Linked DNA regions of Canis lupus familiaris. The protein of the gene in region 5 purifies or fractionates together with the protein of the main gene of each other region. This does not show direct contact. Links are inferred from orthologs where the notes say so. Each region holds a gene or a part of one and is shown on either strand. Other genes may lie near its edges. The genes, in order: STRIP1, STK26, STRN, STRN3 and FGFR1OP2.

Region 1 (6,310 bases), on a different chromosome or scaffold from region 5:
TCAAGTCGCTCAGATGACTAAGAGAAACTCTGCAGCTCTCACCACACAGGGACAGAGGAACCAACAAGTGCAGGGAACCGGCTCACCATGGATCCGGAAGTCCTCCTCAAAGCATTTTCGATTCATCAGGAATTCTGGCCCTTCCGTGTAGCTGTAAAGCTCTATTAAGAACAAAGTCTCATTAGCTCCACGTCCACCTTCCATAGCAGTTCTCATAGGTAGCAAAGAATATAAGGCATCTGCTTCTAGGCCCCAGTCTCCCTGAATCACAGTGACTCCCAGACTATCCAATGACTAAGGGGGTGTGAGTGCTCTGATGTGCACGATGCAGAGAGTGCTGATTCCCGCTAGCAGCCGATAATCAGAATGCCACATAAATCCAGGCCTTTCCAGTCCTGTGCACATCAATCCCACCATGCCATGACAAGGCTGACTGCCACCATGGATAAGTGTCTCTCAGGTGGCCCTGACCTCCTAAATAGGACCTGTACTATGGAGGCCTGAGAAGCAGCTCAGGCTAGCTTCACATTACATGTGAGTAGCAGTGGCAGTAACAGATGTGCACAGATGCAGGCACATTTGTTGGCAAGCCTCATGAGTGACCTACTGCTCTAGGAAAGACCACTGCTGGGCACAGAGTGCATGGCCAAGGAGCATCACTGTCTGCGACTAGGCCACAGCCAAAAGAGCTGACCACACAGAAGAGGTGCTTCACCAAAGTAAAGGAAAAGCCAAAGTTATAAGATACACAAAGCCTGAATCCCATAATTAACATGTTTACATATGTGTGTGTGTGTGTGTATATATAAGTATGTACATGTATGTAAACATGTTCATTATAAATATATATATGTGTATATATGTATATATATATAAATCATAATTAACCAGGTGAAAAAATGAACTCCAAAATGACATTCACTTTTTTCTTTTTTTTAAAGCTGTTCATTGCTTTAATTTTGACATCTAGAAGAATTAGTCTCTACTAAAAAGTCATAGGCCATAACCTAGAGAATACCTTTTTATATTGCAAAGCACTTGTGACATTCACTCTCAATTTTATTGAAGACCAATACAGAAAAAAGCACCCCCAAATAATATGGAGGTCTGTGTTTTACCTGAGAGCTCTGCAGCCCACTTGTCTGTGTCAGCATATTCAAACTCGAGATCTGGCGACTCAGAATAGCCCTGTTGAGAAAAGGACAAAGAGTAATGCAAGAGACCATCCTGTTTTCCAAAGGAGGAAATACATATGCATTGAGACACTGTTGTGTTATAAGACACCACTGCCTCCACTTTTCTTAGGTATTAACACATTTATCTCCAGGGCTAGCTCAGGTCTTCCTATTAAGCCCTTGCAAGAACACCTTCCACTTTTCCTTAGTAGCACAATTTATATATATATATATATTTTCTAAGATTTTATTTATTTATTTATTCATGAGAGACAGAGAGACAGAGGCAGAGACACAGGCAGAGGGAGAAACAGGCTCCATGCAGGGAGCCCGATGTGGGATACGATCCTGGGACTCCAGGATCAGGACCTGAGCCAAAGGCAGACGCTCAACCGCTGAGCCACCCAGGCGTCCCTCAACTTATAATTATATACCAGCATGTGTGTTTATTTCATGTATGCCTCTCCATGAGACTCCAAGTTCCTTGAGAGAGAGAACTTGTCCACTCTGCTCACCTGTGACTTCACAATGCCCAGCACGCTACCTGGCTTGAATGAGCGAATATAAATGAAGAGTTTATAGTCAAATAAATTCTTGTTAGATAAATGAACACAAATGAACACAAAGCCTCTATGTATTCTGTGCAGTGAATGACCCATTCCACATGGTGCTAAGATTCTGGAAGCCTCACTTCTTTCTGGCTAGTGGTAAGCCATCAACAATTCAGGGCAAAATGAGTATTGACAGTCCGCTTTCCTGCCCTTCTCTCAAATTTCCGTGAGAACTGACGGGCAGAATGGTGTCCCTCCAACAGACAGGAGAGAAAGTGACAAAGAGAATCTGTTCACTGCTGGGGATAGGTGATCACGGAGACCACACCATCTTGAAAACCTTGTGCTAGGAAGAGAGAAGGGACGAAATAGGTAAAGGCCTCAGGCCTAATTACAAGCTACTTTGTAAGACAAAGAGCACTCACAAAACAATATAGCAAACCCACAGAGATGGAAAAACAAAGAACTTTACTCGGTCGAAGGCAATAATGCATACTTTCTCTAGTTACTGAGCTTCAGTTCATTTATGGAAAGGGGATGATAAAAATCCATCTTGAAGGTTTTGTGTTTGTTTGTTTTTTTAAGTATTTATTTATTTATTTAAGAGAGCCCATGAATAGGTGGCAAGGAGAGGGAGCACACTCCTCACTGAGCAGGGGGCCTAACCCAGGGCCCGATCCCAGCATCCAGGGATCATGACCTGAGCTGAAGGTGGACACTTAACTGACTGAGTCACCCAGGCGCCCCTATCTTGAAGGATTTAAGGACTAATCAAAATTATGTAGCACACAGTAGGCTCTCCCCAAGACCGCCTCGCTGTCCTCCAGGCACTGCTCAAGCTCCCAGCCGGTGGATTCCAGCTATGCCCCAAAGAGCGGAGTGCAGCTCTGGCATCTCCAATAAAATAACTGAAGCAGGTCTCTCAGCTTAAATGTGTTCATTGGCTGCCTTCCCTGCGATGAGTCTATATGGAAATTAAAGGGTAGAAAAGAGAAATTTACATGCATCAGAGGGTCATGATCATTGCCTTGATCACTGAAGGCTACTCAGGAAAATCTAAAACTATTCTTAAGCTCTAAGTCCTCTCCTGATGAAGGCAGGTTCACTCCCACGCCTTTCATACTTCACCATGCAAAAGCTCCTAAAAAACCAGTTTCACTGCTTTTTCAAATAATTCACTTCAAGCTCAGAGTACCTCTATTTTGGACTTGCCAAATTTTGACACGTTTTCCCAGGGGCGTGCGCTGCCACCAGGACACCAAAGCCTGAGAGGACCGGATTTCCCGGCTGTGAGGCCGGCCGCGGCGCGGGCACTAGCGGGGGTCCCCTCCGAGCGACCTCCGAGCGACCTTCGGCGGGGGCGGCCGCGGGTCACAGCCCGGGGCCCCGGCGCTCCCTTCCTGAGGTCTCCGCGGGGAGGCCGGGAGTCCCGGGGCGCCGAGCCCGCTCCTCCGCCGGCCGTTGCGGGGCGGGGGGGGGGGGGGGGGGGGCGGCGTCCCGGAGGCGGGGCCGGGGAGGCCGCGGAGGAGCACCGGCTTCGCGCCCGGCCGGGGGCGCCGGCCTCGCGCCCCGCTCCTTTCGCTGTGAAGTGCCACCCGCCCGCGGGCCCGCCCGGGCTCCGGGAAGCCCACGGGAGCCCACGGGGAGCCCACGGGAACCCACGGGAAGCCCACGGGAGCCCACGACCAGCCCGAAAGCCGCCCCCCCGCGCCCGCGGGCGCTACACCGGCCCCCCAAGCGCCTGACCTCCGAGTCTTTGCGCTGGTTGCGGTTGAACTCCCGGGCTTTGCCCCCGGGCAGGAGGCCCCCGCCGGCCCGCGGGGCCCCGGGGGGAGGCTGCGCGGCTGCGGGGGGCGGCGGTGGCGGCGGCTGGGGCTGCTTGTTGTTCATGATCAGCGGGACGGGAACGCCGGCTGCCGGCTCCATCTTGGCGGCTCCACACCCCCGGCTCAATTCTCGGACTCTAGTCTTCATGTAACTCTCGCGTGATTTCCTCCAGGAACGCCCCCCCCTCGTCGCCATATTAGGTGTGTCGGCAAGTGCCGGAAGCCATCTTGGCTGCCCAACACCTCGCGAGATCATCTCTTCCCGGGCTCTTAGCTTTCTCTCCGCTTGGTTCTCACCCCTTTTTAGTCCTTGTGTGGGTGCAGTTTTACCTGTGAGTAGTCCCATAGCTCCTCAAGTCCTTGACTTGCCCCCACTTTGCCTTAATATAGCTTTGCACTTGTCACTGTGATAGCCCTTTGCAAAGCTTAGGCGACCGAACAGTGAACAAAACGGGCAGGATCCCCAGTCTTCAGGGAGTGGACACTCACCTGGGGGTCATGGGCGAAACAAGTGGCTAAAGCAATTAGAGTTGTGACTAGCATGCATTCATCACTCATTCAACACTTTTTTTTTAAGAGATTTTATTTATAAGAGACACAGAGAGAGGCAGAGACAGGCAGAGGGAGAAGCAGGCTCCATGCAGGAGCCCGACGTGGGACTCGATCCCGGGTCTCCAGGATCACGCCCTGGGCCAAAAGTGGCGCTAAACTGCTGAGCCCCCCGCGTGCCCCTACCGTGCAAAGAGGCGTGGAGGCATCGTAAGCAGAGGGTCCTGGGGTCGCTGTGGCAGTGGAGTGAGCCAGGGGATGAACAGGAGGAGATGAGGGCCAGATAAATGCAGAGCCGTGAAGGGGATGAAAAATTTTTTTTTTCTATTTTCTATTCTAAGTAAAATGGAAAACAATCAGAGGGTGTTAACCAGGGAGCTGTTGTGGTCTGAAGTTTACAAGACCAATCTGGCTGCTTTTGGAAAAGGAATTAGAGACTTGAGAGTGAATGAGGGTAGGCAGGTTAGGAACTTTGTAGATGAAAATGATGGTGCTTGCACCAAAGTGGAGTTAACAATATTTCTATGTTGTGTGGGTAGATGTGACAGGATTTAGTAAAAGGTTAGAATCCTATCAGCAGGTTAGGGTGGAGTAAAGAATGAGTCCTAGATTTTTGGCTTAAGCAACTAGGTGAATGGTTGTATTGCTGATTACATTAGGGAGGTCTGGGAGAAAGAAAAACAGGTTTAGGAAGATCAAGATTTCTCTTTGGGGCATGTCAAGCTAGAGATGCCCATTAAACATCTTAGAGGTAACATGTGATAATTACCTGTTACTATGCTGTGAAGGCATTAAAGGCATTTTCTCCGTCCTTGTCCCTCCAGAACTCCATCTTGGCTACTCCAGCTCAATTCCCAGAAAGTTCCCCGTGATGCAACTTTCTCGAAATTTCCACCATCCAACTAGTAGTTGCTTTAAAAGTCTTTGTTGTAAACTGATGAATAAACTTAAAGCCACTATGTTGCTTCTTCCTCCTACTGATCTTCCCATCCTTTGCCCATTTCCTTTTATGTCTAATAATACACTTTGTAAATTAGCATTTCATCCAAGCTGGGCTGGGCCAAGGTGATAGGAAAAACTAGGAATTTGCAGGAAAAGGACTAATACGGCTAACCTTTTTGGATAAAATTAGCAAGTCCCACAAAACCCAATACATAACTGCTCTCTAGTTTTAGTCACCAGTTTGGCCAAGTTCTAAGACTGACCTATACCACAAGTTCTATCACCTAGGGGGAAGAATAGACCTTGAAACACCCTATACTGTTTCATCTCCGTTCAGAGTTGGGAAAGTTTAAGGTATTAGTTTAATAATTCCACTTCTATTAAAAGATTCTAAAGAAACAAAGATTTAGATGAAGATATATATGTGATGATGTTCCAGCCATTGGTGTTTTCAGTTGTATAAAGTTGGGACCAACCCAATTTGAGAAATAGCCAATAAAAAAAATGACTAACTAAATAATGGGGCTTTGATAAAATTGAATATATAGAAGATATGAATATTCATGTTTAATATTAAGAAGAATTTTCAGTGACACGTAGGAAAATAGTTATGACTTTCTTCTTTCCTCATCTGTAAACTGATGATAATCCCATGTTTTATGAAGGCTATGGATCAAATTATGTGAAATCATTTTGAAAACTATAAAGTGTTTTTTTAAAAAGGGGAATTATTATTATTACCAAGAGGTGAACCCTACAGTGAGAAGGCCCTTCCTTTGCCACAAGTAGTCATGGGGCTGCGCCCAAGAACATGGTAGTGGTCCCAGGTAGGCTCTGTAGAAGGAAGTTGGCCCGTGCTGTGTACCTCTAGGGTGTCATCTACCATCCATACCTAACTGCATATTTCTGGAAATTTCCATCTTAGCCCTAGTCAGATTATTACTAGTCACTGATATGCTCAATATTCAAGTCATGACTTGTAGAGCACATACAGACCAAGTCTTACCCTCTAGTTGCAGTGCTATGTGGCGTTTTCTCTATTAATGGCTATGAGAAGAAGAAAAGGTTGGGGATCCCTGGATGGCTCAGCGGTTTAGCGCCTGCCTTTGGCCCGGGGCGCGATCCTGGAGTCCCGGGATCGAGTCCCACATCAGGCTCCCGGCATGGAGCCTGCTTCTCCCTCCTTCTGTGTCTCTGCCTCTCTCTCTGTCTATGATAAATAAATAAATAAATCTTTAAAAAAGAAAAAAGAAAAGAAAAGGTTGAT
Region 2 (5,544 bases), on a different chromosome or scaffold from region 5:
GATCAGTGATACCAATTACAAATCTTTAGTACGACCTTTATCTCAGTTATTTGGTAGTCCCTCAAAATTTCATTGCCAGCATCAATAAAATGACATTTTCAGGGACACCTGGTTTGCTCAGTGGTTAAGTGTCTGGGATCAAGCCCCACATCAGACTCCCTGCAGGGAGCCTGCTTCTCCCTCTACCTCTGTCTCTGCCTCTCTCCGTGTGTCTCTCATGAATAAATAAATAAAATCTTTTTTAAAGTGCCATTTTCACCTTTGAGAACAACTTCAATCACTCCTGTTTAAATAGAATATTTTGGGGTGGAAGTTGATAGATTTATAAGTAAATAGATAATGTTACCTAGGAAAGGCACCTATTGAACTATGGCCATCCCCGGAGTACAACATATATCCAGACCACAGTTAATATTCAATGGCAAGACTGAAGTATGGGTTCTATTTTAAGCTGTTAAATTTCAACATGAAAGTGCCCTTTATTCAGAATAAATATGGCATTCATGAAAGATGAAATACACAAGGTGCCAAAGAGCTGTGAATCCCTCCCAGTGTGAAGCAGAGTGGGCGATGTTTGATTTCCACCACCTCTTCCCTCCTTCCAGCAAACAGAACTCTACCTCAGCCCTGACTTTAGATTCCCACCCTTTCCTGTAATAATATTGTACAGTCTACTGTTTGTGCTTTATGAGGTACCAGAATTTTAAAATAACCATTTATTTTAAAGAGAGATTTTCAGATATTCCATTACAATTTCTCCTGAAACCTAATCATTGCTTTCCTTGTATTCCAGTTGGAACTACTGGCTTTGGTACAGGGATGGGGAAAGAAAGGGAAATGTGTTATGGTTATTTGAAAAAACTGTATACTTTCACGATTTGATCATTGTTTTTTTTTGTTTGTTTTGGTTTTTGGTTTTTGTTTTTTTTTGCTTGTTTGGGTTCTGTTTTACAATGGAAGTCTGAATAGATTAATTATATATTCCTAACTAACTTTTAAATTTTGGTCTCAAAAAGGCTCTCGGCTTTCCAAAGTGATTGAGATACACGAATGCTAAGAACTGTGCTGTGAGCTGACCTATATGATCTAGTCAAGTTGCTGTGGAAATCTTAGTGACTGTATGATCTCAAAATAGTTTAGTGTAAATAGTTGATCATTTAAATAGCCAACACCAAAATTGTTAAGTAGTTGATTTCTTTTTTCCTAGCCAAAAAAGAAAAAGAGAGAGATTGAGAGAAGAAAGCTAGTTCTGTCATTGTTAGCATATTTCTTAACTCTTAGATGTAAATATTTGAGAACCTCAGGATTTGGAGCTGGTACAGGGGTCATACTACTTGTATTATATTTCGAGATTAAATCTAATCATGTAAAAACCTTTTCAGCCCTTTGACTTAACTTGTTGACTCTCTTCCCTTTTAAATTGTTTTCCCCTTTGTTTCAATATTGGCTTAATAAAGGCAGAATTGCTTTGTATATCTCAGTGATTCCTTTATTTCAAAGATAATATCCGGTTTGAACTTGGTTGTTCAGACATGTATAAAAGTGTGTGTGTTTTCCCCCCCTAAGCTTCGAGCTGGTCCATTTGATGAGTTCCAGATTGCTACCATGCTAAAGGAAATTTTGAAAGGTCTGGACTATCTGCATTCAGAAAAGAAAATTCACCGAGACATAAAAGGTATACAAAAATCATATATGAACCTGAGAAATGTAGCTGTGTCCTGAGGATGCTGAGCAGATTTCATTTCTTTTTTCCTCCCAGCTGCCAACGTCTTGCTGTCAGAACAAGGAGATGTTAAGCTTGCTGACTTTGGAGTTGCTGGCCAGCTGACAGATACACAAATTAAAAGAAATACCTTTGTGGGAACACCATTTTGGATGGCTCCTGAAGTTATTCAACAGTCAGCTTATGACTCAAAAGTAAAGTGTACCTGTAAAAAATATTTTGTTTTTAATAGTAGGTTCTATATAGCATGCTATTCTATGTAATAAACTGCCCTAATCTTCTTTCTTTTAAGAGTATTTCAAAAGCTAGAGTTATGTCAAGTGTTCCTGCTAAGTCATAAGATCCCAGGATGCTGATAGTATTTGGACCCTATTCCCTTTAGTAACCTTTTGTCCAACTTAGAATAAAATCTGAGATCATTACTATCACATACATGGCCATCTATGATCTGGCCTTTGCCTCTCCAGCCTCATCTCCTATTACTCTCTTCTATATTCTGTCTCCTTTGACCACAGGGGACTCATTGCTATCCCTCAAACATATCAAGTACCACTCTGGCCTCAGAACCTTTGTACTCAGCCTTCCCTCTATCTGGAATAACCTTCCTACCAATCGGGTCTCTGCTTCAACATTACTTTACAGCGTAGGGGCTCCTGGGTGAGTGGCACAGTCAATTGGGCATCCAACTCTTAGCTTCGGCTCAGGTTATGATCTCAGGGTTTTGGGATCAGCCCCATGCCAGGCTCTGCGCTCTTGGAGTCTGCTTGAGATTCTCTCCCTCTCCCTCTGCCCTTCCCCCTTAAAATAAATCAATAAATCATTTTAAAAAACACATTACATCACAGAGTAGTCTTCCCTAGCCATCCCGTGTAAATGTGTAGCCCCAGGACCCCATAACTCATTATCCCTTTATCCTGATTTTATTCTTTTCTTCACAGAACCGAGTACCACCTGACATCATATTATTTATTTATCTGTGTCTTTATTGGAACTCAAGCCCTATGAGAGCAGGGATTTTTGTCTACTTTACTCACCACCTGAATCCTCAGTGCCTAGAATATGGTACCTGGCAAAACATTAGGGAATTTGATAATTTTTTAAATAAATGAATTCTGTTAAAAAATGTATTACATTTACATTTCTTGAGATACTATTTTTGTAAAGTTTTACCTATTTCATTGTTTAAGTCCTCTCTACCCTCAACGTGGGGCTCGAACTCCTGAACCCAAGATCAAGAGTTGCACACTCTTCTTATTGAGCCAGACAGGCACCCCTCTTGAGACACTTTAATATCATATGACCCACAGGCTATTTCATGACTGTTGGAATGGAATTTCGAGGTATTATTTTTTTCTCTCTCTTCCCTCAGGCTGACATTTGGTCATTGGGAATCACTGCCATTGAGCTAGCCAAAGGAGAGCCACCTAATTCTGATATGCATCCAATGAGAGTTCTGTTTCTTATTCCAAAAAACAATCCTCCAACTCTTGTTGGAGACTTTACTAAGTCCTTTAAGGAATTTATTGATGCTTGCCTGAACAAAGATCCATCATTTGTGAGTATATATTGCTATTACTACTATTTGTTTTCTATTATTAAATCTATATAAAGCAAATGTGATTTTTCTACAGTGAGGAATACAGTGCCTGTGTATTGTCTAAGATCCTTCTAGGAACCTGATTCTTCGCTCTGTCTTGCTAATTCTCTTCAGTTCTTAACAAGACCCTTACTTTATCTTCTCCTTCCATTGTATTTTTTTTTCTCTTTCTCATGGTTCCTAGCTTCTTCCTTATTCTATTGATCATTTCTTATTTCAGGAGGAAGGAAATTTGAGATACAAAGTTCCTGTTACAGGAAGTCATTAAAGTACATGTGTAACTATCCAGTGATTTTTATTCAACTGTATTTTTATTTTTCATGAAAAGTGATATGTGCATTTCACATTTTTTTTGAATTTCCAACATATGAAGTTATATGCTTTTTCTGAAGTCCAGTGAACTCCACTCATTTACCTGGCAGATTTGATCACAGTTGCTTTACTGATTCTTTTTTTTTTCTTTACTGTTTCTAAAATAAAGCTGCCTGGTGACTTCTAGGGGCTAGAAATGTACAAGAACTAGGTTTCGATGGAACTGTTTTTAAATTGAGAATGATTATGCTGATATTAATAAAACACTAGGGGAGAAATGTCCCCCATAGCACCTGGTATTTGCATTTAGATGTGCTATGAATTAATGCATGATGGAGAAAGGCTTAATCTGAGCATCATATGATGTGTGCAGATGATAATAAATTATAGCCCTCTAGCTGTCATCCATTTTTTCAACTTAAATATAATAAAAGTATTTGAAATGTTTTTAAATTTTTACTTATTTTCAAAATCCTGCCATGTGTTTCTCTGCTTTTGAGAGGGCCCTGCCTGTCCATTTGCTGGTAGGTAGGCCACCTTTTTGACCCTGGGCTTGAACAAATTGGTACCAAGGTAGTGTATTGAATTCGGTTGTCTTGAGGCACTTCAAAAAGTAGAATTAGAGCAGCCCCAGTGGCTCAGTGGTTTACAGCCCTGCCTTCAGTCCAGAGCGTGATCCCGGAGACCCAGGATTGAGTCCCATATCGGGCTCCCTGCATGGAGCCTGCTCCTCCCTCTGCCAGTGTCTCTGCCTCTCTCTCTCTCTCTCTCTGTGTTGTGTGTGTGTCTCATGAATAAATAAATAAAATCCTTTTTTAAAAAAAGGTAGAATTAGCTATTTATTACCCCTACAACATTTTAGTTGTCTTCATGTTTGTAGACCTAGTTTTCAGATCTACCTTTTCAGCTTAATTGAAATGATTTTTCACCATCCCTTGCAACCATAAAAGAGCCTAGAAATATTCATGCATCCTTCATATTTTTCCTTAGCGTCCTACAGCCAAAGAACTTCTGAAACACAAATTCATTGTAAAAAATTCAAAGAAGACTTCTTATCTGACCGAACTGATAGATCGATTTAAGAGATGGAAGGCAGAAGGGCACAGTGATGATGAATCTGATTCAGAGGGCTCTGATTCGTATGTACAAATCATTTAATTTTTATGTAGGTAGCCCATTCTAATATTGCCTTTTAACTAGTATCTGTTCTGCTTTCTCTAGCATAAAATATAAACCTTATTTTAAAGTTTTACTGTAGAAACCGTGAAAATCTTTTAAAATCACAGTCTGTGGAGTACAATGAATTTGGAAGCAGGTTTTTTTCTTTGAAGTGCATTGCTCTAGTTTTAAATGGTCTCGGTCTAACCCCTAGTGGATACTTAAGTATATTACAAAATTTTGGAATATGATTTGAGTAAAAGTGATTTATTAGTTTGCCCAAAGTGATAAGGGGCTATGTCTTCTCATACTTTGGGGGGAACCTGCAAAATTCATCTGGAGGACTGACCTCCAGGCCTTTCCCACCCCTTGCCCACATGCTAAACTGTGATCAGACTAATATATTTAAATATTCGTTTATGTATGTTTTGTAGCCCCCCTAAAAAAGTTACACTGTTTTTCTAACTGCAGCATTTACATTGACATCTTAGATTCTAAGCCCATAACTTAATTTAGACTAGGGAAGTCTGTAGGTTACACCAGAATTTACCATTCCACTGGTCAAATTGGCACAAAGGCAACACCAAGTTTCTTTAGCTAATACTCTCAGTGTCCTGCATTTATTTGAATTACCCTATCTTTGAAAAGAATAAGAACTACCAGGATGATTTTTGTACCCTGTTGTAATGGTTTGTTGGCTGTGGCTGCCTGTGCAAGTAGCCCATGGAACTTTAAAGGAGAATCAAAAACCACA
Region 3 (5,544 bases), on a different chromosome or scaffold from region 5:
AGTCCCTTGAGCCCATTGTTAACCAAAGCACAGATGAAATGGCAAGGTTGCTCTGTCAAAATATTAAAGCATATACAGATCGATATACAGATATCGATGAGGCAAATCCAGCACACATCTTTAAAGAAAATTTGCCTGTATACTGCAAAACTCTAGAGGCAGAAAAGCAGATATTTTAAAGAAAAACTGTCAATTACTATCCATATCACCACCAGAATACATCTTCAAGAAGTAGATATACATGTTATCAGAAGTGTCATTGATATGATAATGGAATATGTAGGGAGAGGAATGTAGGAATTATATTAAAAGATTAAATTCTTTATGGATATGAATTTAAAGGTGAGGAACTATTATACATACATTTTGCTGAAAATTTGGGCATTAGTAATTTATTTCTCATTTCTACATTGGTCTCTGACATTTGGGGTAAACAAGAGAGTGTGAAGACAAGTGAGACAGCTGTAGGGATGATGTCTATATATTCAGTCCAAAGAGTGGGGTCATGGGAATCCCAAGACATGTAGGTCACAGGATAGGTGAGCTCAGGGAAGCCTGGTCCTTTATGACAATATTCTCCAGAAATGATATTGATATATTGCCTATTAAAATACTCTGAGTTTTCCAATTAAGGAATGGAAGAGAAGTAGGGGAAGGGAAAGAGAATGAGAACTCTTTAGCCAAAGTTATGCACCAAACTCTTCCATCCAGATTTCCAGATTCCCCTTATTGAATATATTAATGGAGGACTTCTGGGGTACAAAAGAGTTGCTTTATTTAGTCCAGCAAAGACAGCTGCCTGACATTAACCAAACCCTTTGGGTTGTTAAAACATAATAATTTTAAACTGTTTTTGGTAGATGTCAGATAATTTGAACATGAGAGACAAAGAGCAAGAGGTCATCTGAAGCATGGTTTGTGGGTTTTGACCAATGTGAGTACTCACAGATAACTTCCAACTTTTCAACCACTGAAAGGTCTGATTTCATCGATAGGAGATAACCATTCTGGTACTATAAATATCACATGAATAAAGTGAATTTTAAAATTAACAGAGAGTATTATAAAGATATGCCCTGCCTGCCCTTAAAAATAAACAGAATCTCAAACTTGAATAAGTTAAACCCATTAGTAAAAGCAGACTCTTATCAACTATTCATAACGGTGACTGTTTTTGACAGCTAAACTTTACAATGGTACCAAATCTATTTTCAAAAATGTAATACAATATAGAAATCTGCTTACAAACTAAATATTTGTTTAGTATTTCTGAATAATAATATATTTAACATATTATTGCATTTCTTTTTTTTTTTTCCCCTAATAGGTAAAATGCTTTGCCAGGTGCTTTATGTGCACAGATGAAAGGAGAGCTAAATTAAAAACTCATTTTAACACTGCCTGGTCATTACGCACATAGGGGTTAGTACAGCAGATATGGTAAAGATTACTGTTTTGACTACCTAATGTGTTTAACAAGATTCTCAGGGGAGAACTAGGTCTAAATTTCTGTTCTTCCTCCACTCATTCCCAGTCATCAAGCTTTTTAATTATCCCTTATAGCATGCCCTATTTACTCAATAGGGACAGGCTAAACTTATGTTCGCTCAGGCCTGCCTAGCGAATCAGAACAACCTCAGAAATAAAAGCTCCTATTTGGGGGAAAATTTGAAACAGTTTTCAGGCTCACAGATTCAGCTGAGCTTGCAGCAACCTGAACAAACCTTAGTTTTAGAAAACAGTATACGAATTGCAAAACTATACTTTAACAAATGTTCTCTGTGCTCCTTCAGCAGAACAAAAGGGCAGGAAAGGTTGATTCTTGCCCTGGTCTTCTGTATCTCTTTTGTGCAGTTGATTATTTATAAAGAGCTAGAAGGTGAAGATGATGCATTGTGTCATACAAAGACTTTAGCTAGTGCATCAGCCCCAGCACTGGCTATATAGCATTTGGATGGATGGAAAGCTACATCATGAATTGATTCTTCAAACTTTTTCCGATGAGCTGTGAACTCTTGGATACATGTCTTACTTTCTAGGTTCCATAAACGTATTGAACAGTCATGACCTGCATCAAAAGGAAAAAAAAGAAAAGAAAAGAAATTGAAAGGAAATATTACATTAACATGAAAATAATAAGGATAAATAAGTAATCCATAGTTGATGTACTTACTGCCAGACATCAAGTACAAGCCATTAGGATCAACTGCTAGACTTGTAACAGCTTCTAGGTGGGCTACCATGGAGTGGATGAGTTTGCCTTTGGAAAAAAGAGATTATTGCTCTTTATTAATAGTTTTCCTTATCCTGAAATATATGCCAGCTACCACGTTACACTGATTTCTCCAGTCACCTCTCTGAATACTTACTGCATTAATAGCTTTTTCCATCACAGCTCAACAATGTGTCTCCCTCCCCACTCTAGCCATGGTAATGAAGAAAAACAAAAGCTCAAATTTCAGATTATATTTGTGTCTTCCAAATAACAATATAAAAGTTAGTCATTTGTACACAAATATTCTTTGAGTCATGTTCATTAACTCAGACATTACTAAACAGCTACTTTGCATCCTTTAGCTACAGGTAAATTATATGGGTTGTGAGAACAGAAGAGAATGAGACAAAGATAAAGGAACAGAGAAAATCTGGCCACAGTTTTGGTGGAAATAACATATAGGAAGGGATTAAAATATTAAATTACTCATCACTCACAGCTAAGCAAAGTCAGCAAAAGTCAACAGTAGATACTCAGGTAAATTTGGCTGATAATATGGAGTGTTCTCCTATCAACACAGCTCTTCAGGAATTTCTTTTAAACTGGTGAAATGCAATTCAATAAAAAAATGGGAAAGCCCACACATCCTAATTCAAATCAATCAGAACCAGACAGTCAATCAAGTTAACCAAATGACTTGGGTTTCCAACTCCAACACTAAGGCTATGCAAACACTGAACAATTTTATTTTTTTTTCTTTTTTTTTTTCACTGAACAATTTTAAACAAAATATGATAGAATGATCATATGCCTCTACTTCCAACATGTTTCTACTTTTTCCCCAATATATTCACAGCAAGAGATCAGTTTTATTGCTATTTGAATGACCTTTTCATTGTGTCCCTATTCATAACCTTGACTCTAGGGACAAAACATAGTATCTACTTATTAAATAAACCAAGATGATTCTATATAGTACCATGAAGACTAGTTCTTAGCAGATTTGGACAGATTAAACAGAAATTGAGCTGGGAGTGTCTATATCTGTTTTCATGCCTACTCTTGGACTATGCAGCCACTAAGAGACACCCAAATCAGCGTACTTATAGTGGGGTTTGTGTTTTTTTGTTTTTTGTTTTTGCTTTATCACTGATCACTTTGCAAAACACTTACCTGTATTGTTATCATAGAATTTGATGTGCCTGTCTTCATGAGCAGTAATGCTGATGGGAAGAGTGGGATGGCTGATGACTCTATTTATTTGGCAGGAAGAACTGGCTGCAAAAAAGAAAAAAAGAGCAACAAAGTTAGTCAAAACTACTAATTTCTTCACACAAGGGAACTGAATACTCACCTAGGAGACTAAAAAAGTAAATGATTTGACTTTAATTTGTTTTTAGTTCATTTATTCTGTGACTATTTATAATTTTAATGTTTTAGAAAAGAACTGCCTGAGCAATACCATACTAACAAATATAGAAGTACCCACAAATGAGAATTTTCTTTTCCACCTGCAATCAATGGGGGCCACCCAGGCTTTAGCCTAGGGTCACTGACCTATCTCATTCTCTGATCATCTGCAATACTTCTACTGCTTTAATAAAGTTCCATCATTACTTACATGTAGACGATACTCAAATTTAAATCTCCACCTTTCTAGATACAGAGCATTTTTTTTTAAGATTTTATTTATTTATTCATTCATGGCAGACACAGAGAGAGAGAGAGAGAGAGAGGCAGAGACACAGGCAGAGGGAGAAACAGGCTCCATGCAGGGACACTGATGTGGGACTCGATTCCGGGTCTCCAGGATCACACCCCAGGCTGAAGGCGGCGCTAAACTGCTCGGCCACCGGGGCTGCCCGATACAGAGCTCTTTATCACATAGTTATCATCTGAAGACAAATATGACAAAGAGAGCTTCTGACCTCTTCAATTTCTTTCTTGTAATAGAAATGGTCATCGGGGCAGCTGGGTGGCTGAGTCAGTTGTGTCCAACTCTTGATTTTGGCTCAGGTCATGATCTCAGGGTGGTGAGATTTAGCGCTGTGTCAGGCTCAGTGCAGACTCTGCTCGAGATTCTTTCTCTCTCCCCCTCCTCCTACTCCTCCCCCAAAACTTGCGTGTGCACATGTGCACACACTCTCCCTCTAAAATAAATAAAATCTTAAAAAAAAATAGAAATGGTCATCATTTAACAGTCTATCATGTTTGGAATCTTAAAACAGCATCCTGACTATTATGTGCACTATATAGTAACTTTAAAGAATTTCAATTATATGCACAATGGGACAGGCAGGCCACATGTCCTTAGGTCCTTATCACAGTGTATGAACCAAGGTCTAGAAAAAGTTGTGACTCCCCCAAAATCATGTGACAAAGTCAGTACCAATATTAGATGGCTCATGCAAATCACACTGCTGCCAAAAATGGTACCTAAACTATCACAGGCCCTTCTGAAAGTCTTTCATCAAAAGGAAATCAATCATTAAAAAACCCTTTTAATTAGTAAGTTTTGTTAAGACCCTTTTTTTTTTTTTCAAGGAAAAAACTATATATAAAGGTAACACTAAAGATATGTCAAAGTTAAAATAATCATGTCATGGTCCAGGGAGAGGAAGGGATGACCTTATTATAAAGCATATTATTGGGAGATCTGGCAAATTTGAATATAAATGATAATTTTAGACAATAGCATTTTGTTACTGTTAAATTTCCTGATTTTGATTATATGCTATGTCAAAAAAAGAATGTCTTTTTTTTTTTTTAAAGATTTTATTTATTTATTCATGAGAGACACAGAGAGAGGCAGAGACATAGGCAGAATTCTGGAGAAGCAGGGCCCTCACAGGGAACCTGACGTAGGACTCGATCCCCGAACTGGGATCATGCCCTGAGCCAAAGGCAGACCCTCAACCGCTGAGCCACCTAGGCGTCCTGACAATGTCCTTATTCTTAGGAATTACACGCTAAAGGCTCTAGGGCTCTACACAGTGTTATGATGTCTCTTAAGTGGTTCAGAATCTAAAATTATATACATATACAGAGAATGATAAAGCAAATGTCACAATGTGCAAAATGCTAAAAACTGAATCTGGATGAAGGGTGGCTAGTGGCTAGTTTTTGTACTATTTTTGAAGCTTTTCCAAATACTTAAAATTATTTCCAAAAAGAGATACAATTTTTTAAATCTTAGAATAGTTATTATGAATTTATATTCACATAATGGAAAATATAGATAATTTTGGTAAAAATAGCTGTAATATTAAGTGTACTCTATTGGATTTTCTTTTGGTTCCTAAAAATATGACATCTTAAAAACTGAAGAC
Region 4 (6,162 bases), on a different chromosome or scaffold from region 5:
GGAAAGGAAAAAAAAACCCTAAAATTCTAAATTTATATATATTTAATATAAATAGGTATTCTTGAAGATCATCAGCAGCATACTGAAACTAACAGAATCAATGGGAGAGGAAGAGCGATGGACAGGACTGATGACAGAACAAAAAGGAAGTTTCAAAGGTGAAACTGAAGAGAGGAAATGACTCAGCCACAGTTCCAAGGAGGGAGTTCCAGTTAGGTGAGTTGTAGGTTATGATATGGCCTGGGAAAGCTTATTACACACAAAGGACAAGATTCCAGGACACTGGAGTATTCTCAGGGGTCATGGACACAAAGTATAAGGACAATAATGTGTACAAAATATTCTCCTCACAGAGTCAAAAATCTTGGTGTCTTTCTCTTTTAATACTCAGGGTAAAAAGTCAACTATAAAAAATGAAAACAAAGTAAAAAAGAACTCAGGGCAGTTTTGGTCATTGACCCTTGAAATAGCTGGTATAATGGTAGCAAAAAAACTAATAATACAAAAAAATTGAGGTGAAGGAAAAATATATCTATTAGTCTAGTCCACATTTCAGTTATTAATCATTTTTGGGAGACTGCACTATCCCAGACATGGAAGGTGGGGAACATTAAGGTGGCCAGGTTTAAACTAACACAAGAATAAAGGTAATGGAATAGATGTGATATAGATAAGGAATAGAAATGAAACATGTACTGAGAAAGGGACTGGGTGTAGGGGCTGAGTAAAAAGAAGATAGTACAATGACTACCAGCCCTCAGGTTTGGATGTAATGCCATTTAATAAGATAGGTAATAGAAGAGAAATAGTTTTTTTTTTTTTTTGGAAGGTGGGTGGGAAGGAAAATAGAAGGATTATCAATCTAGTTTTTACTTAAGCTTGAGGTACCAGTGGGAAATATAAGTACTCATGTTCTTCTTTTGATGCCACATAACAGAGATCAATTACATCTACTCACCTACATTTCTTTGAGACATATTTGGAACTTTTTCTTTTCTTTTTTAAAGATTTTATTTATTTATTCATGAGAGACAGAAAGAGGCAGAGAAATAGGCAGAGGGAGAGGCAGGCAAGGAGCCTGATGTGGGACTCATCCCAGGACCTCAGGATCACATCCACAGCCAAAGGCAGACGCTCAACCACTGAGCCACTCAGGCACCCCTGGAACTTCTTCTATACTATGAGGCCCCTCAAAAAAGGAAGAGGACTGAATAAGCAGGTTTTATGCTGGTCACTATAAAATGGAAAAATAGTACTTAAAAATATGGAGAAACAGTTTTTAATAATATGTGACCTAAGACCTCACTCATTTCATAGACAAAACATGGCAGCAGGGGTAACAGATCATCACTAAACATAGTAAGAGTAGACATGATTAAGTAAGATGTACTATTTTAGTCTTTTTGAAATTATACTTTGAGTGGTGCTGTGCATTACACAGTGAGAGTTTTACTGGTAGTAGAGAAGAAAAAAAATAATGCGATCAATTTTATGTGCAGTTTTCCCGCATAGCTGTAATTATTGAACCTTTTTTCCTTATTACATTGTTAAACATTATTCTTGTCCTATTTTTCAACCAAGTGGTTATTAGCTATATTAACTTTCTTTAGAAACACAGTAGTTCATTAAGGATGTTTCCTGGCAACCTAAGCATATAAAACACACACAATGGTACTTAAAAGATTAAATGTGTCTTTTAGGTGTATATTACATTCATTTAAACATCATTTAATGACCCAGGAAAACATCTTCGCGGCTGTTCATCTAGGATTTTATATTGTATTCACGACGCTTTTATTTTGTTTTCATCACAAGATTCCATGAATGCCACCTGTGAACCCTTTCATTCTAAAACACCGAACTGTTCGTCTAACAAGTCTCCTTCAAAGTTACCTTTCTCTCTCTCCCCCCGTACCATCGTCAAGATCTAAAGCTTTTCACTATTCCTTCTCCCAAGAAAAAAATGAAAACATTCACTCCTGCTCCTCCCCCCCCCCCCCCCCGCGCCAACCCACCCCAGAATAGGAGAAAGAGGGGCGGCAAAGTGGAACAAGCTGCGTCCCGCGCCCGGGAGCACGGAGCTAGGACACCGAGACCCGCAACCAGTCACCGTGTCCGGAGGGGGCTGGGCTATCTGCCAAAAGAGAACGTCCATCCCCAAAGCCTCAGGAATGACGGGTACTTAGAGCGAGTGACAAGCGGAGGAGGAGGCCCGACCCTCTGGGACGTCCTGAAACACGCCAGGAATGCGAAAGAAACGCCAGGCATCCCGGGCGGGCGGCAGCCGGCCAGAGCGCCCAGCAGGTTACGACGGTCCTGGAAGCAGGCATGCGGCTGGCCCCGGGGGGGGGGGGGGGGGACGACGCTCAAGGGGCTGCTGACTGAGCGAGGGAAACTGACGGTTGGGAGCGCCCGAAAGTTCGGGTGGGTGTCCCGCAACACAGCCCAGCCCAGAGGCCGCAGCGAGGCACCGGGGCAAGCCGGAGGAGCGCCTGGGGGCGGGGCCAGAGCCCCACCCCGCCTCCAGCGCCCTCACGAGCCCTCAGTACGCCTGCGTAAGGCGAGGCCGCACTCTATTTGGCTGCTAGGCGCGCGGCGGCAGCGGCGTTCTCTACCCGGCATGCTGCGCGGGAGCGACGGCCCTACGTCTCTCCCCTTCCCAACCCAGCCCCCTCCCCCCTCCCGCCGCGGCCCCCCCTTTCCCTAAAGTGAGTGAGTGAGACGGGCAGATGGAGGAGGGACTGTAATGGCGGCGGCCGGCAGCTCCCTGCTCTGACCCGCGGCAAGCGTACGGCAACGACCCCCTCCTCGCCCCTCTCCCAGGCGGCCTCCGCCCCGCCGGCAGCGCGGGGCCACCCTCCCCGGCCCTTCCCCCAGCCGTCGGCTTCTCGCCCTGCGCCCCGGCCGGGGCCCCACACACAATGGACGAGCTCGCCGGAGGCGGCGGTGGCGGCCCGGGGATGGCGGCCCCTCCAAGGCAGCAGCAAGGACCTGGGGGGAACATGAGCCTTTCGCCAGGGGGGAATGGAGCGGCGGGCGGCGGAGGTCCTCCAGCCGCCGAGGGAGCGGGTCCCGCGGCAGGCCCGGAGCTGTCCCGGCCGCAGCAGTACACTATCCCGGGGATCCTGCACTACATCCAGCACGAGTGGGCTCGCTTCGAGATGGAGCGGGCGCACTGGGAGGTGGAGCGGGCCGAACTGCAGGTACCTCGCTGGGGTCGGGGTGCGGGACGGCTGCGGCGGCGGGGCTCCCGGCCGGGGGGTGGGGCCGGGACTCCCCTCGGTCGGAGCCCCGGGCCTGGGGGGCTGGGGGCAGCCTACCTGTGCAGCTCGGGGGGCGGTAGTCCTGCCTACGGCTCTGGCGACGGCTCTCCCGAGGGCCCCCCTCCCCCTTTCCCGCAGAAGCTTGTTCCCCAGCCCTTGCTAGCTGCGCGGTGCGGGCTTCCTTGGGGCAGCCATTTTGACTTTTAGTATGGCGTCTGCGGGGGCTCCTCTGGAGGCGGCCTGCCGGGCCTCCGGGGCTTGGGGCAGAACTCCTCTCAGTGGGAGAGTCCGGCGTGGGGTGACGGGGCGCGAAGCTTGCAGCTGACTGCGCCTTCTGCGAGGGAGAGCCCGAGGGGAGGGTTTGCGATGGGCATTTCATTACCTTTTCCTTTTTCACCCCCCTATCCGATTTGGCGTTTCTTGGGCCCCTCTCCCGTAGTTGGTGCGCACTTGCCCCTTGACAGCCACGCTTCTTTCCAGGGCTGCCACCGAGCGTAGTGTCCTGCTGCTGACTTGGGAAGTTGACGTTTCCTACCGCCAACTTTAAGTACCTTCTTACCTGGGATGCTGCCTTACTTAGGTTCCCTCCCGGTCAGTTCTTCCCAAGCGACTGACTCATCATCACTGCTTCTCTAAATTGAATTTTTCTTTCGGGAGTACCCTTCCTTCCCCGGGCCTCCAGCCCCTCCTTTAGCCCTGTGAAGCCGAACCAGAGTCTCTCTGCCGTGTTTAGGAAACAACCGAGGAACGATTTAGTGTTACCTTGAAGTGTGACACGTACTTGTCCCACGTTAACTGACTCGCGCAGGGGAAGCAAGGTTAAATATCCCCAGAATCCTTCATAATTGAGCCTTACTTGATCTTTTAAAGGTGAAACTTTGCTAGGCTGGTTCACCTAACTTGTGGAGGAACGTTGGTAGTTGAAGAGCTCACGTCTTGGATTTCAGAATGGCTACATCCTTTTAAGAGGATTGTTCAACTCTTGGGTACTTGTGTTTATTTTTAAATCCCTTTCCAGGGCAAAATTAGGCTTAGAAGGAAAAAGCATGCATCCAAATAGTGTTGCACCTGTTCTTCAGACTGGTATATATTTAGAATGTAAGTAGTAGTGTTCGCTGATATATATATATATCATATATGCCTACGGTGAATAGTTAGGAAGATACGGTGTTGCAGGAAGGAAGACTGGATTAACTTAGGGTGTCTTCAAACAAATATATATTTTTTTAGTTTAATTTTGAATTAGTTATCTTTGATTCTACAAAGTTAGTGAAGCTAAACTTTTAAAAAGGACTTTTATATATCTTGACACTTTATCAAGTCTTCATATCTGATCTGATTCTTTTTTTTTCTGAATTTTTTAATTTATTTATGATAGTCACAGAGAGAGAGAGAGAGAGAATGGCAGAGACATAGGCAGAGGGAGAAGCAGGCTCCATGCCCTGGGAGCCCGATGTGGGATTCGATCCTGGGTCTCCAGGATCACGCGCTGGGCCAAAGGCAGGCGCTAAACCGCTGCGCCACCCAGGGATCCCTTTATCAAGTCTTCAAAAAACTTAATTATAAATTAACACCTGTTAGTCAATTCAATGTTTTAGAATTGTGTTTTGATATACTGTAGGACTTTTAAAAATAGAACTTTCCAAAAGCTTGTATCATAATTGTCTGTAGTTTCTTTTTTCTTTTCTTTCTTTCTTTCTTTCTTTTTTTTTTTTTTTTTGTAGTTTCTTTTAACTTGTATGTATGTAGTCTAGTTTAAAATATCTGGGATTTATAGAGTTTTGCTGATAAACAACTTTTTACTACACCATGTTGCAAACAGTATACTGTATGAAGATAATAAGACGGTTATTTTTAAAAATTGCATTTAAAAATGCACTGAGGCTTAGACTCACTAAATAATACCTCACCAGTCCCTGGATATAGTGTCTAATGACCTCTGCACTGTTGTATGAAAGATTGGTTTTTTTTTTTTTTTTTCCCCTGCCCTAGAGGATGAGACATTTATTTTGCCCTGTAAGCACCCGAAAGCTTGGATTTTAACACTTTGTAAGTTAACAGTGCATTAGTCATTTATAAGCTTCACTAATTTAAGTATCTGAGGAAATAGCTTATTTGTGTCTAAATTAAAAAAAAAACCTATAATGAAGTCTATATGTCTGCCTTAGCCCTTTCTTTACTTTTTAGTTCTCTTTGCCAGTAACAGTGAAGTCTTTTAAGGAAGATTCCTTTTGCTTGTTTGCTTTCCAGTTGATCTGCTATTGTAATACTAGTTCTGATAAAGCCTTTCTAAGCTTTTTTTGTTTGCTTACTTTTAAGAAGTTCTACAGTGTCTCTAGACTCTTAGTTTTTCCTGGGATTTTCATTATTTCACACTGATTCTTTTGAAATGGAATGTGCATGATTCTGTTTGTTTTTGTTCTACATATTTTTCTAAAATGTTATATTGGGTTACTTAGTTAAAAGGGTTTCAGGTTTGTTTCTGGAATATCGAATTTGCTTTAGGTACTTTCAGTCTTTAATAAGATTGCTTGTGAGATGCACATTTAACAGTGTATATGTCAAGGGGCACCTGGCTGGCTCCCCTGATAGAGCATGTAGCTCTTGATCTCCAGGTTGTAAGTTTGAGCCCCGTGTTGGGTGTAGAGATTACTTAAAAAAATAAAATCTTAAGAAAAAAATGTGTCAAATAAAAAATTTATTAAGGTTTCAGTGAAGTGTCAACGGATTTTAACTGTAAACTTTATTTTTAGGAATGATAATGTAGAAATAAGAGAGCTTAAATATTATTTTGTGTATAGCCTCAGATCACTTTGATGTGTGGATGAACAGTGACTCAGAAATGTTCAATATTAGAACTATTCAATGATGAATATGAAGAGGTTAGGGTACACCCAAT
Region 5 (6,021 bases):
GTTGTTTCTCTTTTCCCCTTGAGGGGGTGGGGGGTGGTTGAGAGGGAGGCAATTTACTGAATTTTACACCATATAGTTTTTTTTCATGTGTATATCACCTATCATCTAATTATATGTAGGAGCCTTAGTACATTCTCTTTGAAAAAAAAATAATGTTTATTATATTTGTAGATGTTGTATTACGCAGCATAAAGAAGTATTCTTCAGATAGAGGTCCCAATAATATTAATTACAGGTTAGGACCTAGGATTGTTAGAAGTTCTTAGTACTTGAGTTGTTCTTATTAAGCCAAGATAAACAAACTGTCTCTAAAGTCTTTTCCAGTTTTCTCTAGGCTTTTTCTAAAATTTGTTTTTTTATTTTATTATTTCCTTTGACCATCTGTTAGAACCCATCTTCTTTACTGTAAGACAAATAGTCTTTTTTTTTTTTCCTCACTCATTACAAGTCAATTTGCTCCCTTCTCTCCCTCCCAGTTTGTTTCTTTGATTTTGTTTCTTTTTGGTGAGGGGGTGTAAATAACTTCAGAATTTTACTCTGAAAGATCTCATGTTTCATAGTAGTGAGGTTGGTTAATGGGAGATATGGTGGCTCCCATATGAATAAGAAATCTGTATTATTATCCATGTATAAGTTTAGGTAATTCTCCTTGGAAGTTTAGAGAAAGGACAGGGCATTGTTGGATGCTAATGTCTTCCTTGGAGCAGCATCTTGGACAGAACTGGATAGTTGTCCTTTGTGTTTTAGCCAGTATGAGACAGTTGTGACTTTTTTTTTTTTTTTTTTTGACAGCTGTAACTTTAATGACCCTTTTGCTTTTTGTTTTTTCAAGTACCTTTTTCTAAACCTCTCAGATCTTAGGAGATCAATCTTTCGATTATTTTATCTGGAGAACCAGAACTTGTATTAATTTCCAGCTTGTTTAATTTTTAAAGCTCCCTGAAAATGTCATATTGAATATTTTTCTAAATTGGCAGTTTTACATTGTAATTTATTCTGATTAAATCCTCTTATTCAGGTTTGAACCAGTACAGTAGAATTTAACAGTCTTGCATTCTGTAACAAATTTCTGTCTTCCTAAAGTTGATGAAATTCTTAATTATAGCCCTTAGCTTGGATCCATACCAGAGTTTTAATTTAACTTCTATAGACCTGGCTTCTGGCCTAGTAAATTTACAGTGTGATTTTACTTTTAGAGAAAACCCTGAAGAAAGGATGGCTCATATAGAAGGTAAGGTAAAACTTACCTTACAACGAGAAAAATCCAAAGATTAAGTTTCAGAAGATTGAAGTCTTTGAAAGAGATTATTTTAAAATTAAGATTTTGTTTTGAGGTCTCAGTACTAAATGAAGAAGCTAACTGTTGAGTGTTTCGTATTTTTCTGCTAATTTTTTTAGCTCTTCTTAAACACATTATTTATTGATTTTTAACATATCAAAAATTTCCCGTATGGCTGGTGTTCTAAGTCATATATTTTTTTAACCACTTAATAAGGAAAGCACAAGACTTAGGATTATAATACTTCATATATGAAGTATTTCCTCCAGCGATGCCTGGGTGGCTCAGCAGTTGAGCAAGCCTGCCTTTGGCTCAGGGCATGATCCTGGAGTCCCATGTGGGCGGGCTCCCTGCATGGAGCCTGCTTCTCCCTCTGCCTGTGTCTCTGCCTCTCTCTCCGTGTCTCTCATGAATAAATAAATAAAATATTTATTTATTTATTTTTACTTTTTGGTAAAAGTCTTTAAAAAAAAAAAAAAAAGTATTTCCTTCAGTCAGGATGCCTGACTGGCTCAGTCAGTTAAACATCTGCCTTCTGCTCAGGTCATGACTCCTGGATCCTGGGATGGAATTCCTGTATGGGTTTCCCTGCTCAGCAGGGAGTCTGTTTCTCCCTCTGCCCCTCCCCGCTGCTTATGTTCTTACGCATGTGTGTTTTCTCCCTCTTTCTCTTTTTCAAATAAGTGAAATCTTAAAAACATTTTTTTTTAAAAAGTAGTTCCTTCAAAAGAAGGACACTCTGAAGGACACTCTGACATAGTATGACACATAGAGACGACTTTAGCTGGTCAATAAGTGTGAGTTGTGAAATGGTTGGTGTCTCAGGTCACTTAACCAAGCAAAGGCTAGAAAGGATCTCATAGCTAGTGACTGACAATCATGGACCACAGAGTATGGACTAATAAAGTGATCTTTTTCACAAATATCAGGAGAAGGGAATGATCTCATGAAGAACACAATTTCTGTGTAATATAAAATGTATTTACTTGATTTGTACTTTTTTCCCCACTATAAATTCAGAGTGTTTTAAATACACGCAGATTACGTCTGCAAATCATTTATATATGCTCTAATTTTTTAATATTATAAATTTACTTTTAAGCTTGTGCCCTCCGAACAGAAGCAAAACCACAAGTGTTCTTACATGTTTTCTCTCCCCAGTGAACAATCCTGTAATAAATGTAACTTACGAAGCATATCGATGTTAACATGAAACTAAAATAATAAGATGATAAGCTGGCTTTGTTTAGAGTCTTGATTTTAATTTTATAGGTATTCCTTTAGAAATGAGTTGCACAATTGAGAAGGCACTTGCTGATGCTAAAGCTCTTGTTGAAAGATTGAGAGATCATGACGATGCAGCAGAATCTCTGATTGAGCAAACCACAGCTCTCAATAAGCGAGTAGAAGCGATGAAGCAGGTTTGATTTCTTTTCTTTCTTGTGGATTCCACTTTGAAAAAAGCAGTCAGATATTTATGTATTGCTTGAATCATAAATTTCTGCTTAATACCGTTTTTTTAATGTTTTATAAAATTTAAAAGTAACTTGATTTGTATATTTTAATTTTATTTTAGATTATCATATAATTTTGTCATGTCCAGGTGATACAGATATATATATGTATATTCTAAAAACCATATATTTGATTATTTGTTTTTCTGGCAGAGTTGCACATTGGAGTTTAGAAAATATATTAGGTTCTGATATATTAGAGACCAATAATATCTTTCACTAATAGTGATATATTTTGCTCTCTTATTTTTATAATGTAGAAATGTTTATATTTTTCTTTGTAAAAGTACTTAGGTGATGTTATTTAACAACAGAATTTTCAAAAATGGCATAAGGCAATATCTGGTTTATATATTATGCAGTTGTTGAATTTGTACTTCCTACCTTAATTTCCATTTAGTGCTACCAATTAAAGAAAAATTGAAAAGGGTTTCAGTTATTATCCTTATAATGTACATAGGAAGTTTCTTATATAAGAATTGTATATAAGAATTTTCCAGTGGTCCACGGGGTTAAGGTACCATTTTAAGCCTACTTATGATAAAAATTTTCAACTTTAAGATAATTATACAGTCTCTCCTTATGATGGAAATCATTTAGGGGGAAATGTATATTCATAGCCTACTCTTGTGAAACTCATCCATTTTGTAAAAGGAAGCAACCCTGGAATACCACTTTTAACAAAGCTATTGGAAATAATAGAGCAAATTTACTTGTTTTGTTGCCTTAAACAGATTACATATCTCCCTAACTGTCCAGCTTGACTCATGCATTCCAAGGAACTAATATCTGGTACTGAGTCATAAAAACAAAGGAGTTTGACAACTAAAGAACCAGAAATGTTATAATGAATACATTACTAAGCAGCACATCAAAATGCCTTGAAAATGAAGGAGTACAATTTTAAAGTTAGATTCACATTTATTTCTAGGTTTTTTATTTCTTTTTTACATGTTCTTTTGCTATTGTTATTGAGATATAATTCACAATACCCATATAGTTTACCCTCCTAAAGGGCATAGTTCATTGGATTTTAGTACATTCATAGGTTGCGCAACCACAATCACTATCTAATTCCAGAACATTCTCCTCACCCCAAAAGCTTACCTCCATTAGCAAGCTAGGTATTCCCTAGCTCTCCCTTCCCTCAGCCCCTGGCAACTAATCTTTCTATCTCTATAGATTTGTCTCTTTGGGATATTTCATGTGAATGGAATCATACAATATGTGGCTTTTTGTAACTTTTTTAAATGTAATGTTCTTGAGGTTCATCCATATTATAGCATGTTTTAAGTTTTTTATTCCTTTTTATTGCTGAATAATATTCCATCATAAGGATATAGTGCATTGTGTCTATCCATTCATCAGTTGATGGGACATTTGGATTATTTCTATTTGGGGGCTGTTATGAATAATACTGCTGTGAATATTTGTGTACAAATTTCTGTGTAGACCTATATTTTCAGTTATCTTGGGTATATACGTGGGGGTAGAATTATAGTCATCCTGCTATACATTAGATTCTCCAGAACTTACTCATCGTTTGCCCATTTTTAATACATCATCATTAAATTATTATTATTATTGAGAGTTGTTAAGAATTCTTTATATATTCTGGATTAGGCCCTTATATATATTGAGATATGTATTTTCAAATATTTTCTCCCAACATGTTCTTTTTTGATCTTTTCATTAGTATCAGGAGGAAATTCAAGAACTTAATGAAGTTGCAAGGCATCGGCCACGGTCCACATTAGTTATGGGAATCCAGCAAGAAAACAGACAAATCAGAGAACTGCAACAAGAGAACAAAGGTGGGGTCCTGAGGTGGCTCAGTGGGCTAAGCAGCTGCCTTTGGCTTAGGTCTCAGGATCCTGGGATGGAGCCCCACATTGGGCTCTCTGCTCATTGGGGAGCCTGCTTCTCCCTCTCCCTCTGCCTGCCACTCCCCTTCTCTCTCTCTCTCTTTAATAAATAAATAAAATCTTTATAAAATAAAAGAGAATGAAGGTAAGATATATAATTTTAAGATTATTAAGAACGTATGATTGTAAAAAACAAAGGAGTTTGACAAATAAAGCTAAAAACCAGTAATGTTATAATGAATTATGTTACTAAGTCACTCAGCAAAATGCCTTGAGAATAAAAGTGTAGGCTTTAAAGTTAGATTCACATTTATTTAAAAAATTTTTTCATTTCTTTTGCACATACTCTTTTATTACTATTGAGATATAATTCACATACCATAAAATATACTCTTTGGGAAGGCATAGTTCATTGGATTTTAGTTAAAATTAAACTTGGTTGACCATTTGCTTCAACGTGAATAGAACTGGAGGCTATTATGCTGAGTGAAGTAAGTCAATCAGAGAAGGACAAACATTATATGGTCTCATTCATTTGGGGAATATAAAAATAGTGAAAGGGAATAAAGGGGAAAGGAGAGAAAATGAGTGGGAAATATCAGAGAGGGAGACAGAACATGAGAGACTTCTAACTCTGAGAAACAAAGGGTAGTGGAAGGGGAGGTAGGCAGGGGGAAGGGGTGACTGGATGATGGGCACTGAGGGGGGCACTTGATGGGATGAGCCTGGGTGTTATACTGTATGTTGGCAAATCAAACTCCAATAAAAATACATACAAAAAAAGGGAAAAAATTAAACTTGGTTGAAAGAGCTATAATACACAGTTGGACTCTTAATTTGGGATCAATTAATATTTTTAAAAACAGGGAAATGGGCAACTAAATTTCCTTTTCGGTATTCTCATTTCTGGTCCAAATGCCCAAATCATATGTAGTAGTCTTTATCCTTTCCTACATATGAATGTCTACCTTACTTGGAGTCATCTTAGATTCCCACTCTCAATATCCAGTTTATGCCGTTATTACCTATGAAGTAACTCACTTTCTTCTCTACGGAACAACTGCTTTAGTCCCTTGCTTAGATGTTCATGGTCTGTTGCCAGAACTATCCTAATTGGCCTCAATGATTCCAGTTTCTTTTCCCCCTCTAGTCTGTCTCCCAACACAGGCATCCAATTCATTTTTCAAAGATCTCTCTGATCATGTTATTCTTTTGCTTTAGAACCTTCATTGTATACTTATTTCCATATCCAGAAGCTTTCAAAATCAACTCCAAGCCTTTTTTTCTGTCTCCTTCCCATCCTTCTCTTCTCTATGAAACCTTCTTGCTGTCCTGAACCAGTTCTGAACCCACCATCTGCTTT

Evidence for each region.
Region 1: the proteins of FGFR1OP2 (region 5) and STRIP1 purify together in Homo sapiens (affinity purification with mass spectrometry; 3 studies listed by BioGRID and IntAct, with this or other methods). This does not show direct contact. The link is inferred for Canis lupus familiaris from reciprocal best matches to the Homo sapiens genes FGFR1OP2 and STRIP1.
Region 2: the proteins of FGFR1OP2 (region 5) and STK26 purify together in Homo sapiens (affinity purification with mass spectrometry; 4 studies listed by BioGRID and IntAct, with this or other methods). This does not show direct contact. The link is inferred for Canis lupus familiaris from reciprocal best matches to the Homo sapiens genes FGFR1OP2 and STK26.
Region 3: the proteins of FGFR1OP2 (region 5) and STRN purify together in Homo sapiens (affinity purification with mass spectrometry; 4 studies listed by BioGRID and IntAct, with this or other methods). This does not show direct contact. The link is inferred for Canis lupus familiaris from reciprocal best matches to the Homo sapiens genes FGFR1OP2 and STRN.
Region 4: the proteins of FGFR1OP2 (region 5) and STRN3 purify together in Homo sapiens (affinity purification with mass spectrometry; 5 studies listed by BioGRID and IntAct, with this or other methods). This does not show direct contact. The link is inferred for Canis lupus familiaris from reciprocal best matches to the Homo sapiens genes FGFR1OP2 and STRN3.

What each region holds. Positions count from the first base shown.
Region 1 is NC_049227.1:42,384,488-42,390,797, forward strand, and holds the start of STRIP1 (striatin-interacting protein 1), read right to left. Parts: upstream 3,668-6,310; 5' UTR 3,653-3,667; coding exon 3,473-3,652; intron 3,072-3,472; exon of another isoform or gene 2,922-3,071; intron 1,189-2,921; coding exon 1,119-1,188; intron 162-1,118; coding exon 87-161; intron 1-86. UniProt on the Homo sapiens protein: Plays a role in the regulation of cell morphology and cytoskeletal organization. Required in the cortical actin filament dynamics and cell shape. Part of the striatin-interacting phosphatase and kinase (STRIPAK) complexes.
Region 2 is NC_049260.1:103,927,829-103,933,372, forward strand, and holds part of STK26 (serine/threonine-protein kinase 26), read left to right. Parts: intron 1-1,566; coding exon 1,567-1,675; intron 1,676-1,759; coding exon 1,760-1,917; intron 1,918-3,092; coding exon 3,093-3,278; intron 3,279-4,622; coding exon 4,623-4,771; intron 4,772-5,544. UniProt on the Homo sapiens protein: Serine/threonine-protein kinase that acts as a mediator of cell growth. Modulates apoptosis. In association with STK24 negatively regulates Golgi reorientation in polarized cell migration upon RHO activation.
Region 3 is NC_049238.1:29,431,239-29,436,782, forward strand, and holds part of STRN (striatin), read right to left. Parts: intron 3,494-5,544; coding exon 3,389-3,493; intron 2,261-3,388; coding exon 2,174-2,260; intron 2,069-2,173; coding exon 1,899-2,068; 3' UTR 1-1,898. UniProt on the Homo sapiens protein: Calmodulin-binding scaffolding protein which is the center of the striatin-interacting phosphatase and kinase (STRIPAK) complexes.
Region 4 is NC_049229.1:10,486,483-10,492,644, reverse strand, and holds the start of STRN3 (striatin-3), read left to right. Parts: upstream 1-2,716; 5' UTR 2,717-2,921; coding exon 2,922-3,203; intron 3,204-3,320; exon of another isoform or gene 3,321-3,588; intron 3,589-3,645; exon of another isoform or gene 3,646-3,788; intron 3,789-3,822; exon of another isoform or gene 3,823-3,968; intron 3,969-4,025; exon of another isoform or gene 4,026-4,179; intron 4,180-6,162. Other genes in the region: small nuclear ribonucleoprotein-associated protein B'-like, read left to right, coding at 56-158, 2,164-2,707. UniProt on the Homo sapiens protein: Calmodulin-binding scaffolding protein which is the center of the striatin-interacting phosphatase and kinase (STRIPAK) complexes.
Region 5 is NC_049248.1:25,862,770-25,868,790, forward strand, and holds the start of FGFR1OP2 (FGFR1 oncogene partner 2), read left to right. Parts: upstream 1-2,536; 5' UTR 2,537-2,565; coding exon 2,566-2,700; intron 2,701-4,489; coding exon 4,490-4,607; intron 4,608-6,021. UniProt on the Homo sapiens protein: May be involved in wound healing pathway.